Drosophila melanogaster: one gene and its partners. The protein of the gene in region 1 interacts with the protein of each later gene in a pairwise test. Each region holds a gene or a part of one and is shown in the gene's direction. Other genes may lie near its edges.

Region 1 (3,755 bases):
TCTTTGGGTAAATATTTGCAGAATGTCCTTCCAAAAGATTTAAGCATAAATCTTAGCCCACATTTCGCATCAATTTGCATAAGTGGAGTGGAATGGGAAACTGCCAGAGCGCACAAGCTCGATGGCCATGGATTGCTTTCGTCATTGTTGGCGACGCCACAAAGTCTAGTGTTGCATGCAACACATTGCAATGCCAACAGGCGAACGGATGGGGGTGGCTTCAACGGTGGTGATGAGTGGTGAGTGCCTGCGGTTCGTGGCCAGGGTCATTATAATTGCGCCTTAATTATTTTCAACACGCAGCTGTCATTTTTGCCGGGCCCCAGATTTCCGCCATCAAATATTTAAGACGCATGCAACGTGGCGTATGCGTAACGCCAACTGCTGCCAGCGGTCACTCGGTGCGGGCGAGGGTGTTGAAATAAGGCCAGTTAAGTCACTAAAATAATTACACAAATTAATTTAAATTGCATAAAGAGGTGCATACGAAAGAAGGACTAATTATGCCAGCTCTCAAGGCAACAACTGTTTTTACCCCTTTTTTCACAGCATGTTTTATGTACTGTACCCTATATTGTTAGGTCCCCGAGCGTTCTTCCATGGTCATTAGAAATTTAATTAAAAATTTTGATATTGTTAGGAGTATAGGGAATTCTATTTATTTCAAGCTTCTTCCGCCCGATTGCCCATTAAGCGGTATTAAAACTGTCTTCCCCTCGGTGCCAAAGTGTCATACTTGTGCATATTTCACACCCTCGCTCGCATTCACAGAAATGTGTGCACATTTCGCAGGCAATGAGCTTTTGAACATTTAATGAGTTAATACGCTAAATTTGAAAGCCGCTCAAGCGTGCGCCAAGTGCTTCAAACACTTGTCCCCATCCCCGAGCTGCCCATTTTCCAGCTTGAATAATGAGAATGGGGGTATCAAGCCGCTAAATCCAGCACTGAAAAATTTTTCATCAACTTAATAGAAATGTGTTTATTTTTTAATAATATACATTTAGTTTGTAAGATATGTGAAATAAAATAATTTCGAGTTATTTATGAGAATTATATACGAATAAAAGATCAAAAAAATAAAACTAAATTTTTCTCAGTGTACGCACACACGCATATGCAAAACACTAAGCACTTGTCATTTGGCTGTAAACCCTACGCGTCCGTTCGTTGGTATAAAAAAAACAGTGCAAATGTCCAACAGACGAGCATATGTACATACATATGTACACTATAGGTATGTGCGATGTATGTACATATGTACATATGTGCGAAATGGAGGATTGGTTGGCTGTCGTGGCGTCGTATTCATCCTGAACTCATGGGTGTCATTTCTCAGGACCCTCGCGGTCTGCAGGATAACAGCAGCGTAACAGAAGAAGACCCTCACTGGGGACCAGGACCAGAAAAGTAGAGGCTGCCAGACTGCCTCACTTTTGGCGTTCAAGTGAAAGGACGAAGTCGCCGACACTGGTGTGGCAATACTTTTGGCAGCCAATTGTGCGGGCTGAGCAAGATGAATGAGGAATATGAGTGTTGCTTGCACAGTGGGCTACTTTCAAGGGTGTTGGAAGATTCATAACTATCTTAAAGATGCTTTCAGCAGTACTTCTTATGTGCGAGATATAAATTCAACAATTTCTAGATTTTGTAAATAAATATTTCCTTCTCTTATCCAAAATCATTTATAATAAAATAATAATTATTTTATTATAATATACAATATAATAATAGTTGTCATGAATTTAAATGTCACAAACAGGCTGTCTTTCATTAGTAACATATTTTAAAAATTACTCATACGCCACGTTGTCAGTCAAGTAAATATATTTGCCATTTAAAACAGCTCTTCCAATATTATTACAATTCAAACTAATTATATGCGTTATGTGGCTACTTAGTCCACTGTAACCGCCGAGGGCTATGCTATACCCTATGTGCCGCCCGCAACCCAAGTGAGTGCGCACCCACTCTCCGGCGAACTCGCTCTCCGTCTCCGGCGGAGTGGCTCCGGATATTTCGGCAACAGAAGCCTGGCTGCGATAGCCGGAGATTTTCCGAGCGAGGGAAAACCGAATGCCGAAGCGTCGCTGCTGGCAAACATTTTCCATTTTCGCAGTCCTGTAATCAGTTGTGTATAGGACACTCGCGTGCGCGCGTCGAACGGTTTCTGGCTTTATTTGTGGGAAAAGTGTGTGTCTGACGGCGAAACGGTAAACGGGGAAAACGCTGCGCGGTTTTTGCTGCTATCGAGTTCTTCTTTTGCTGGATTTTATATATGGAAACGATTGTTGCTGCTGTATCATTGCAGCTTGCAGCTTTAAATTTAACTTAAATGCTAAAACATCGTTTTGAAAAGCAACGCGAGAGTTAGACAAACAAGTTGGAGGAAATTTTCCAGCTACAGCTACAGCTGCTGCCTCAGCCAGCGTCGCAGTCGCTGTTCGAGATAAAGGATATGCCCGGATCTAAAAGATACAGTTTTTCCTCTTGTTTCTTTTTCCGCTGCTGCTGCTCGTGCTACATTTGCTGCTTGGCATTTTCCGCACAGCAACAACAATCGTTGAGACAGGACCGCAAGTTTTGCTAAAATGTAACATAACACCAAATAAGCAGAGTTAGGAAGAGTGAGCGCCAAATAATGCAAATAAATGAATAAGCCCAAATCATTAACAAATTAAAACGAGGCACGCAAAGGAGGGCAGGAAAATATAAATATCGAAAGGAGTCAAGTCAAGTGCTTTCGAGGAGCTGTTTGCTGACATGCTTTGAGGTTAATACCACCCACCACCACCCAACCGCCCACTACCACCCATCTCAACCATCAGCCATCACCAACTCCTCCTACCTCCCTCATCTCCGTTTTGGCCAATTTCTCCGTCTGCTTTCGCCGCTTTCTTCGTCAACGCCGCTGCTGCCGCCGCCGCCGCCGCTGCTGCCGTCACCATCAAAAGGCATCGAAGGTAAATATATATGTTATATTTTAGCCGAGTGTGTGTATATAAGTCAATGGGCCAACAAACTAACCTACAAAGTAAACAAAAGCGTTACGCTACAAATGCAAATTTTTCGCACACATGCTCAAGAACTATAAACAACAACTCATTTAACTGACGCCATGCCCCCATAAAAAAACCAAAAACAACGCAGCTTAAGACTAGAAATGAAAAAAAAAAAATGGAAAACAAACAGTGAAAAGGTGGAAATGGCACGGCAAATGAAACACAACAAAGCAAAACGCACGCTTCTAAAGCTATTTGTATAAAATTTTAATCGCATGCGATTTATTTGACTAGGCGCCAAAGTCGCACGCACGCACACCATCGCATTTTCGCAGAGGCACCCACACACACACACACGCAGGCTAGTGAAAATTCACACACTCACCTTGAAAAATGCGAAAAAACAGTCTGGAATATTTTGTTTATTTTTCGCAAAATTATGGAAAATATTTATGGGCTCTATTTGAAGTTTGAGCTGTGCCAGGTTTTTCATTCAATAATTGAGGAAAATAATGAAAATGTTTAAAAAACGCATCAAAGAGTATTTTTGTGAGATTATATTTAAAATTGGATGTGAGGCTTCGATTTACTATTGAAATGTTAATTTTCATATTTATTTAAACAAATAAGAATCTGTGTTTGAAGACGCACCTGGCTGCAATTGTTTACTGTTTACGGCACTGTGAAAATATATTAAATTGTTCATACATATTTTTAACTTTTGGCAGAAGTGTCGACAACTTGTTTATAATT
Region 2 (3,755 bases), 3.2 Mb from region 1:
CACCTTGCGACTAATGATCTTTATCAGCTCATCCACGCGCTCGCTCTTGCCGGCGAATTGTTTTGGATGCGGTCCAATCATTTGAATGATCATCGGTACGTCTTGCGAGACCTGAAAAATAGCAAAATATTCGAATATTTGACAGCTGTCAATTTGGGCTACCCCGAATATAGGTCACTACCTCGAGGAATCGAACGAGGGCCCTCAGGGTGCGGAAGATTTGGTCTTCGTTGGGACTGCTCTGGAAGAACTGAAGAATGGCCATGGCCAGCTCCACGGCGATATCGTCGAATACCTGCAGATATATATCTTGTATCTACGATATTTTCCAATACTTTGCATACCACATACCACAGTCTTCACTTCCTTAATAGCAATGTTGTACAGGATCATGCTGCCAATATTTTTCAGCTGCGGGCAATTGGAGAGGATGCAGTGGACGGCCACCTTGGTGGTCACTCGTATGTTGGAGATGGTCTGACCATTGTATTCCCACTCCGAAATGTACAACAGCCATTCGGAGGGACCCAGGTTCTCAAAGAGATTGCACATCTGAAACATATTGAATATATAGCAAACTTATATATTCATTCTCCCATTGCGGGACCTACAAACATGGCCCAGGCCTGCTGCTCCTCGGGCGTCTGCTTGTCAATGTCCTGGGCGTAGTTCATCAGTGTGTGATCCCTTCGATCCTGGTGCAGAATGATGATCACATCATCTTTGAGCGCCGCATAGGCCAGCGTGCGGATCAGGTGTATCCGTGTGTCCGGCGAGAAGGCCTGATTGTCACGCAGGACGCGCTGCACGAAGATCAGAAAGTTGTCGCCCAGCGCCCAGGAGCCATCGTCCTCGATCAGATACTGATGCAGCTCCTCCATGGCCACTTCCTCCTCCTTGTAGATCTTGCCATCGAGCAGTTTCACTAGGCTCTCTAGCTCAGTCTTTATCTGTGGGAAGTGGAAGTGGAAAGGATAAGATATATGATGCATTTAGCGATGATTCGGCATTAGATAATATAAGTCACAGATTTACTGCAATTTTCAAAAGTGCATCTAATTGTTTACAAACAAATCAGCCAGTTTGTAATTGTGTATATAAGAAAACATTTTTGTTGGTTTTTTTTTTGGTACTTGGATACAGCTTCCTAGTCTTTGGACTTACATCGATGTCTTTGAGGACCAGCGCCGGTTCGCGTGGTACTTCCTTCTCCTCCGTGGACTTGGAGCGCTCCTTGCCGTTCTGGGACTGCTGTTGTTGGGCTGCGGGCTCTGACATCTCTGGTCTATTAATAGCCGCATGAGGAAATTATAATAATAAAATAAATTGTATAGTCAAAATTAAATGAACATGCATTCGCATGGGACCACAACAAACTTTCGCTGCGCAAGAGCCATTAAATTGCAAAGGATTTTCACTTTTTATTCGATATTATTTTTTACGATCCGCCTGCGATAATGTTGTAATTTTCAGCACAAATTGCCAATCAGGCGTGCTGAAATGTTTACAATTTCGGCAGTAGAAATATGTGAGGAATTTGATGTTTCATATAAACAAAAAAGGCGGAAAAGCATTTAACTTAATTAACAGCAGAGAAGCGCTGGGAAATGAAAAGGAAAAAAAAGAAAAGCGGTTGCCGGCGACACCATTGGGTAGGGGAAAAGTTGTCAAACCGAAGTGTGACAGTAAAACTGAGGAAAACTCAAAATAGCCGTGGTATTTTTAGTTTTTTACTTTACGTAGACAAAAACAAGGTACAGAAGATTCTCAACTGGCAACACGAAATTGCATGCAATGTGATATAAACGACTTTTTTCCGGCCTCAACCGACAGAAATTGGTAATTATAATCAAATAAAATGTTGAGATATTCCCAATTAATATGCATAATTTATAGATTTCCAAATTACTCACATGCTATTTTAGTAGAAGTGACACAGAAATTCCTACACTTTCGACACCAAATCGTGGGAAAGTCGCGAAGAAATCACAATTTAAAAATCAACTAGGGCACAAATGGTATCAGTTGTTTATTCAAAATTCCGAAAATGAATATATGGTTATTTATTTTCCAGATCATGCAACTTTTGTAGAACTTTTCATTGAATTCCAGAGATTCGAGTAGCACGCGAACCGTTTTGGCAGAGAGTCGCCTCGAAATTGCCTCTGTTTGTTCGGAAAAGTCTAGTGGAAGTGTGAGGAAAAGTTTCGGAAAATGCACACTCAAGCGCGTAGGAGCGATCTGTGAGTGTGTTCTTTCGGATATATCCGATCGGATCGGGTCTTTATAAATAGATACAAACGCCTCAGTTCGCTCGCGAGCGAATTATGGCCAATGCAGCTGCACTGAACGAAATTAGTGACAATTGCGGGGGATTTTCGCCCACTTTAAGCCTGCCCAAGTTGCGTTTCAAATTGAATTTGCAGTGGTTTTTATTACACTCGGCAAGGGCAAGGACCATCCTTCACACGTCAATGCAATGTTAATGTGCGGGGGCGACCCGGCTGGGAAAGGTCGGGAAAAACACAAAAAGCCATTAAGTGGCAACCAAAATACATTCCAGGCCCAGCTGGTGGTCCTGTCGCCTTCTGAAAGCAACAAGTCTCACATTGCGTAGCCGAGATGTTGACCAAGGCCCAAGCTGCGGCCACTTTCATTTGGCTTTCGAGTGTTAAGCGCGTCGGTTGCTAAGTGGATCCTTATTAAAAAAAACACACTCCTGCAATGAGAACGTCCATGAGGATTTCCCTGAGGCTGCTTGCACTCCTGGCTTGTGCCATTTGCTCTCAGGCTTCGCTGGAAAGGGAGAACAACGAGGGCACCAATATGGCAAATGTGAGTTATCAATGGATTAACTATTTCATTAAGACCCAACAGAAAGTGGAAGTAAATTGTGAAATTCGTTAAATTAGTTAAGCGGAGTTATAATCTAAGTTGATAACGCGACGCATTGTTTAACGTTCATTTACATACCTAATTAAATAGTTGTTACCTGATTAGTTTTGATATAAATATAATTTATCGTCTTATTTGCAGCACAAGCTAAGTGGCGTTATACAATGGAAGTACGAGAAGCGACCGTTTTGCAATGCATTTACAGGTAATTTTAATACAATATATAATAATATCCATTACAATCCGGACGATTTACAGGCTGTGGACGAAAGCGTACGTATCCCTCGTATCCGCCATTCTCGCTATTCAAACGCAACGAAGTCGAAGAGAAACCCTATAACAATGAGTATTTATCCGAAGGTCTAAGTGATTTGATCGATATCAATGCCGAGCCAGCTGTGGAAAATGTTCAAAAGCAAATCATGTCGCAGGCCAAAATCTTCGAGGCCATCAAAGAAGCCAGCAAGGAAATCTTTCGGCAAAAGAACAAACAGAAAATGTTGCAAAATGAAAAGGAGATGCAGCAATTGGAGGAGCGCGAAAGCAAATAAATCGAAATAATCGGATAAATCGGAATTATCGGAATAGTCGGATTTCTGGAAAGCAAATTGACTGGACGGTTAGCACACTGCTTTTGTTATTGTACATACTATCTTTATCCATGACTCCTTGAATTGTGAAGAATTCCACAGCACTGGCATTGCATTCAATAAAAATTGTTGACCTCACTTTTTGTTGTTTTCTGGTCTATTGTATTTATTGGTAATACATCTGATTATAGAAAACGGTTTAGAAAGTTCATTATTTTTACCACACTGAATATACAATATGTTACCCTATGCTATCTCTTGGTGACATTA
Region 3 (3,755 bases), 3.0 Mb from region 1:
GCATATGAATTTAATCTACTGCGATTGAAGTCAAATTGTGCAAAATTAAAAATGAATTGTTTTGTTGAATTTAATGGGACAAACTTTATCTTTAAAGTGCCCGAAGGACGAGAGTTTTACACGGCGAATTCGTATAAATTCAGCTCATTTCACGCTGACCGCCCCCACAGATTGTTCCACTTGCTTTAGTGGACATGGCACGGGCCAGATTGCGTAATCGTTTTTCATCCGCGAGGACCCCTGAGAGCCCACCTGTATTGCCTCCCCCCACCACCCCTTCCACTACCCACGGCGTTCGGTGTGCTTGATGTTCGCATTTTCGAAAAACAAATTTATTTTCAAGCGCGCCCAATAAATTGAAACTGACTGACCCACCGCCATCGCCTGTTGACCGTTGACTCGGCGGCAGTTGTTTCTATTTCCATTTTCCGGGAAAAATTGTGGGATGGGCGAGGCGGAGGTTGAGGATTATGTCTTTATGTGCATATTTTGGAATTTTATAACCGTTGCGTTGCGTCGCTGACAGTTGAATGGAGGGGGGGAGGTGGGGAGCGTGGAACGCGGACAGATTCCTGTTTTTCACTTTTCAGCCAGATTTCGCCATTACTTCTAATGAAGTCAAAAGCCCCGTTGCTACAAGAGCGAAAACTGAAACAAAAGCTGAAACAAAAGCTGAAACAAAAGCAGTGACAAAGGGCCAAGGGCAAGCGGTCGCGGGGGAAAAGCGGTTGGAAAATATTCAAATTAATTTCAGGACATCTCCTGTTGGACATAAGTTCCTTTTGACCAGGTTGTTGTCGCCATATTTTGCGTGTTCGCCGCCACTGCCGACGTTTTTAATCCTGACTTATGGACTTCCGTATTCGGTTTCGTCATCAGCGTAATGCCTGCTGCTCTGTCGGTTGGGATGGTTGGTTTTCCCTTTGTTTTCCGCCGTACAAACTGCTGAATCGCTTTTTACAGTTATCCGGATGACCTGTGGGTGGTTGCTGCCCAATGCCCCTGGTGCAAATGTTGATGTTGATGTTGTTCCTGCTGTTTAGTTTTAATTACACGCGAGCCTGCCCTCGGTGGTCACGCCTCGATAACTTGATTTTCCAGCTCTAACTCATGTGAAAAGTGACAGCGTTGCGTTCACCTGGGAACTCGTCGCGTAACTTTCACTCACCGAAACTAGCAGGACATGCCGCAATTTGTCTCCCACTTCGAAATGTTGCCAAAGCAGTTCGAATGTTGCCAGCCGATTTCCAGCAACACCACGCTTCCAGCAACAAAGGCTGAAGTCAGCCCCTCGTTTCGGAGCAAAATTCGGAGTGGCATTCGTGGCGAAAAATATGATAGGGGTAGTTTTCATATGCCTCTCTCTAGGCAAAAAGCTGACGAAGAGTGACTGCTGAGCTCAAATAGCTTTAAGCGACAGGTGAACAACATGATATGACAGCATTACATGATCAATTTATTATATGTGGCTTGTGCTGAGAAGTGGCTAAAAGTTATTTAAATCGCAAAAGCAAAATATTGGATGATAAAAATGAAAAATTTGATGTAAAATGTACTTGCTGTAAAAGTTTGAATTTCAAGCTGTCATATGTCATACCTTCAAAATAAGATAATAGTTAAATCAGTTGTTTAAGTATCAGTTTCAAAAAAAAAAGAGTGTGAGTACACGAATTTAAGTAAAAAGAAAGAACAATCCAAATAAACGATATTTGTACTGTATTTTGTTATTGTCTTTTGTAAACAAAACTGTTAATTATGTTTTATGGCCAAAGCCAGGGCAGCGCAGCCTAGTGTCTAACAACTTGAGTTGGTAATGCCCATTTCGCCGTGGCACAGTTGTCCTGAGGCGAACTGGGAGAGAGCCAGCCATCTTTCGCTCTCTGAGCAGTGCCCTCTCTCATCGTCGCTCGGGTGGCCTCGTGGGCGTAGCCGAAGTGCACCGAAGCAACACGAAGTGTTGAGCCGAACCCGAATGCAGGGCGCTGAGAAACGACGGCGAACGGCCAGCAGTGTTTCAGTTGAAAGTGAACCCTTCGACGCAGTTGACACGAATCGCGCGCGACTCGTTCTAAGTGTTTTTCAGCAGGAGCAGAAATCCTGAAGCTGAAGCCAAAAGACCCAGCAGGACATCAGCTGTGCCAGCGAAAAGGATTCTAGCTGCAAGATAATAGTTATTTGTGCAGTGTGCTAACCTAAAAGCAAGCAGTTCTCAGACTGCAACTAACTAAAACAAAGCCAAGTGAATAAACTAAGCCAATAAGATATAAAAGTGAAAAACTTTAAGGATAATAAAACCGAAAACGATCGCTCGTCACATGAGTTCCAGTGCCGCTGGCGCAGGTAATAATTTGCAGCATATTAGTGAATTCTTGTGGGAGCTGTTCGCACTGAAATATTCAAATTGGCACCGAATGTCGCTTAGAATATAAACGTGTACGTGCTGCAAGGACTCGACTTGAGCCAGTGTTTACATTTTGGATTTTATGCGATAATACTCAAAGCCATCAGCGGCAGAAGTGGTAGCTTCGCTATATGGTTGGCTGTGTTATACGATGGCTAGGAGCCCAGGTGGGTGGTTGGGTGGCTTTGTGGCTCCTTTACCCCAGCCAGCTGCCAAATAAATAAAGCAACAATAACAGGGCGGGCAATAAAAGCCACCGCCAAGGGCTCAACCGCCGAACGGTCTTAGCCAAGAAGAGAGTCTGCGAAAGTAAGCAAAGTAACAAAACCAATTTTCATTGTTTTGCGGTGGCTTCCAAGTCGCACTTTCCTCTTGTTCTTTTTTTTTTTTTTTGTTTTTTGCAAGAAGCCGCCTTCAGAAACCAGAAGTATAACAAAATTTCCCTTAACACACACACACACATACACACCAAGTGGGAAAAATAAGGAAAATGTGCAAATGCCGACATGAAATGAAGTAGAACTTGGCATGTGGCGTCCTTAGTTGTATATATGTGTATGTGTGTGTGTGGGTGTGCTGGTGGGAAAATGTTTGTGAAAATGAGAAATGAAATAAACACATGCAATGGCGAAAAGCGAAAGCTTCATAAAAATCCGCTGAATTTAAATACTTAAGAGCATTCGCCGAAAGGCATTCCTGCCGACTTCTTCTCATTTGGGCAAAAGTTTTGCGTCCCTGAAAGAAGAGGTAAATACCCAGAAGCTGTGTAAATTAGGATCCAGATCCAGGCAGACTTAATCCCGGAGAAGCAAACGATAATAGGGATATCATACGATGGCGCTGTGGATGGGGCTTCGAGTTCTTCTGTGGCATAAATAAGTCGTTTGCAGCTGTTCGTCGGCATTTATTTGGCTGCCTGTTCAGGACATCACAATTGTTTCTGGCATTTGGTTAACCTGCAAGTATTCCGCATTCGAGACGTGTACACCAATTTCATATGCTAAAATGCTCGCAAAATCGAAAAAGGGAAGCCGGAATCGTAACCACACAGGCATTGGCAGCCCCAAAGGGGCGAAGACACGCGCTGCCTGCCATTTAATGCAATTGATTTGTGTTGCCTAATTCGGTTAGACGCGCTTCTACAATGCCAATTGTGCGAGCGATTCGGAGCACTGAGAGAAAATATGACAGTTAGATTTATTCAGGACCCCATCGGTAGTCTGTATCAACACAGGTTTATCAATAAGAAAAAGCACTAAATACAAATAGTCCAGGCAAACATTTTTCACAAATTTAAAAGAGATTTAAAAAGCCAGACTTTCTGGGCACTTCTCAATTTTTGGCAATTAGCAGA

Evidence for each region.
Region 2: the proteins of CG5890 (region 1) and CCAP interact in a two-hybrid assay, tested with the Drosophila melanogaster proteins (one large-scale study listed by BioGRID).
Region 3: the proteins of CG5890 (region 1) and klg interact in a two-hybrid assay, tested with the Drosophila melanogaster proteins (one large-scale study listed by BioGRID).

Annotation. Positions count from the first base shown.
Region 1 is NT_033777.3:25,854,011-25,857,765, forward strand, and holds the start of CG5890 (uncharacterized protein), read left to right. Parts: upstream 1-2,143; 5' UTR 2,144-2,963; intron 2,964-3,755.
Region 2 is NT_033777.3:22,700,449-22,704,203, reverse strand, and holds CCAP (crustacean cardioactive peptide), read left to right. Parts: upstream 1-2,119; 5' UTR 2,120-2,724; coding exon 2,725-2,835; intron 2,836-3,036; coding exon 3,037-3,100; intron 3,101-3,153; coding exon 3,154-3,446; 3' UTR 3,447-3,622; downstream 3,623-3,755. Other genes in the region: CG6972 (uncharacterized protein), read right to left, coding at 1-111, 179-295, 352-552, 612-950, 1,165-1,278. UniProt on the Drosophila melanogaster protein: Cardioregulatory neurohormone that increases heart beat rate during adult wing inflation; has no effect on beat amplitude. The effect of CCAP is both ino- and chronotropic.
Region 3 is NT_033777.3:22,897,271-22,901,025, forward strand, and holds the start of klg (klingon), read left to right. Parts: upstream 1-2,013; 5' UTR 2,014-2,340; intron 2,341-3,755.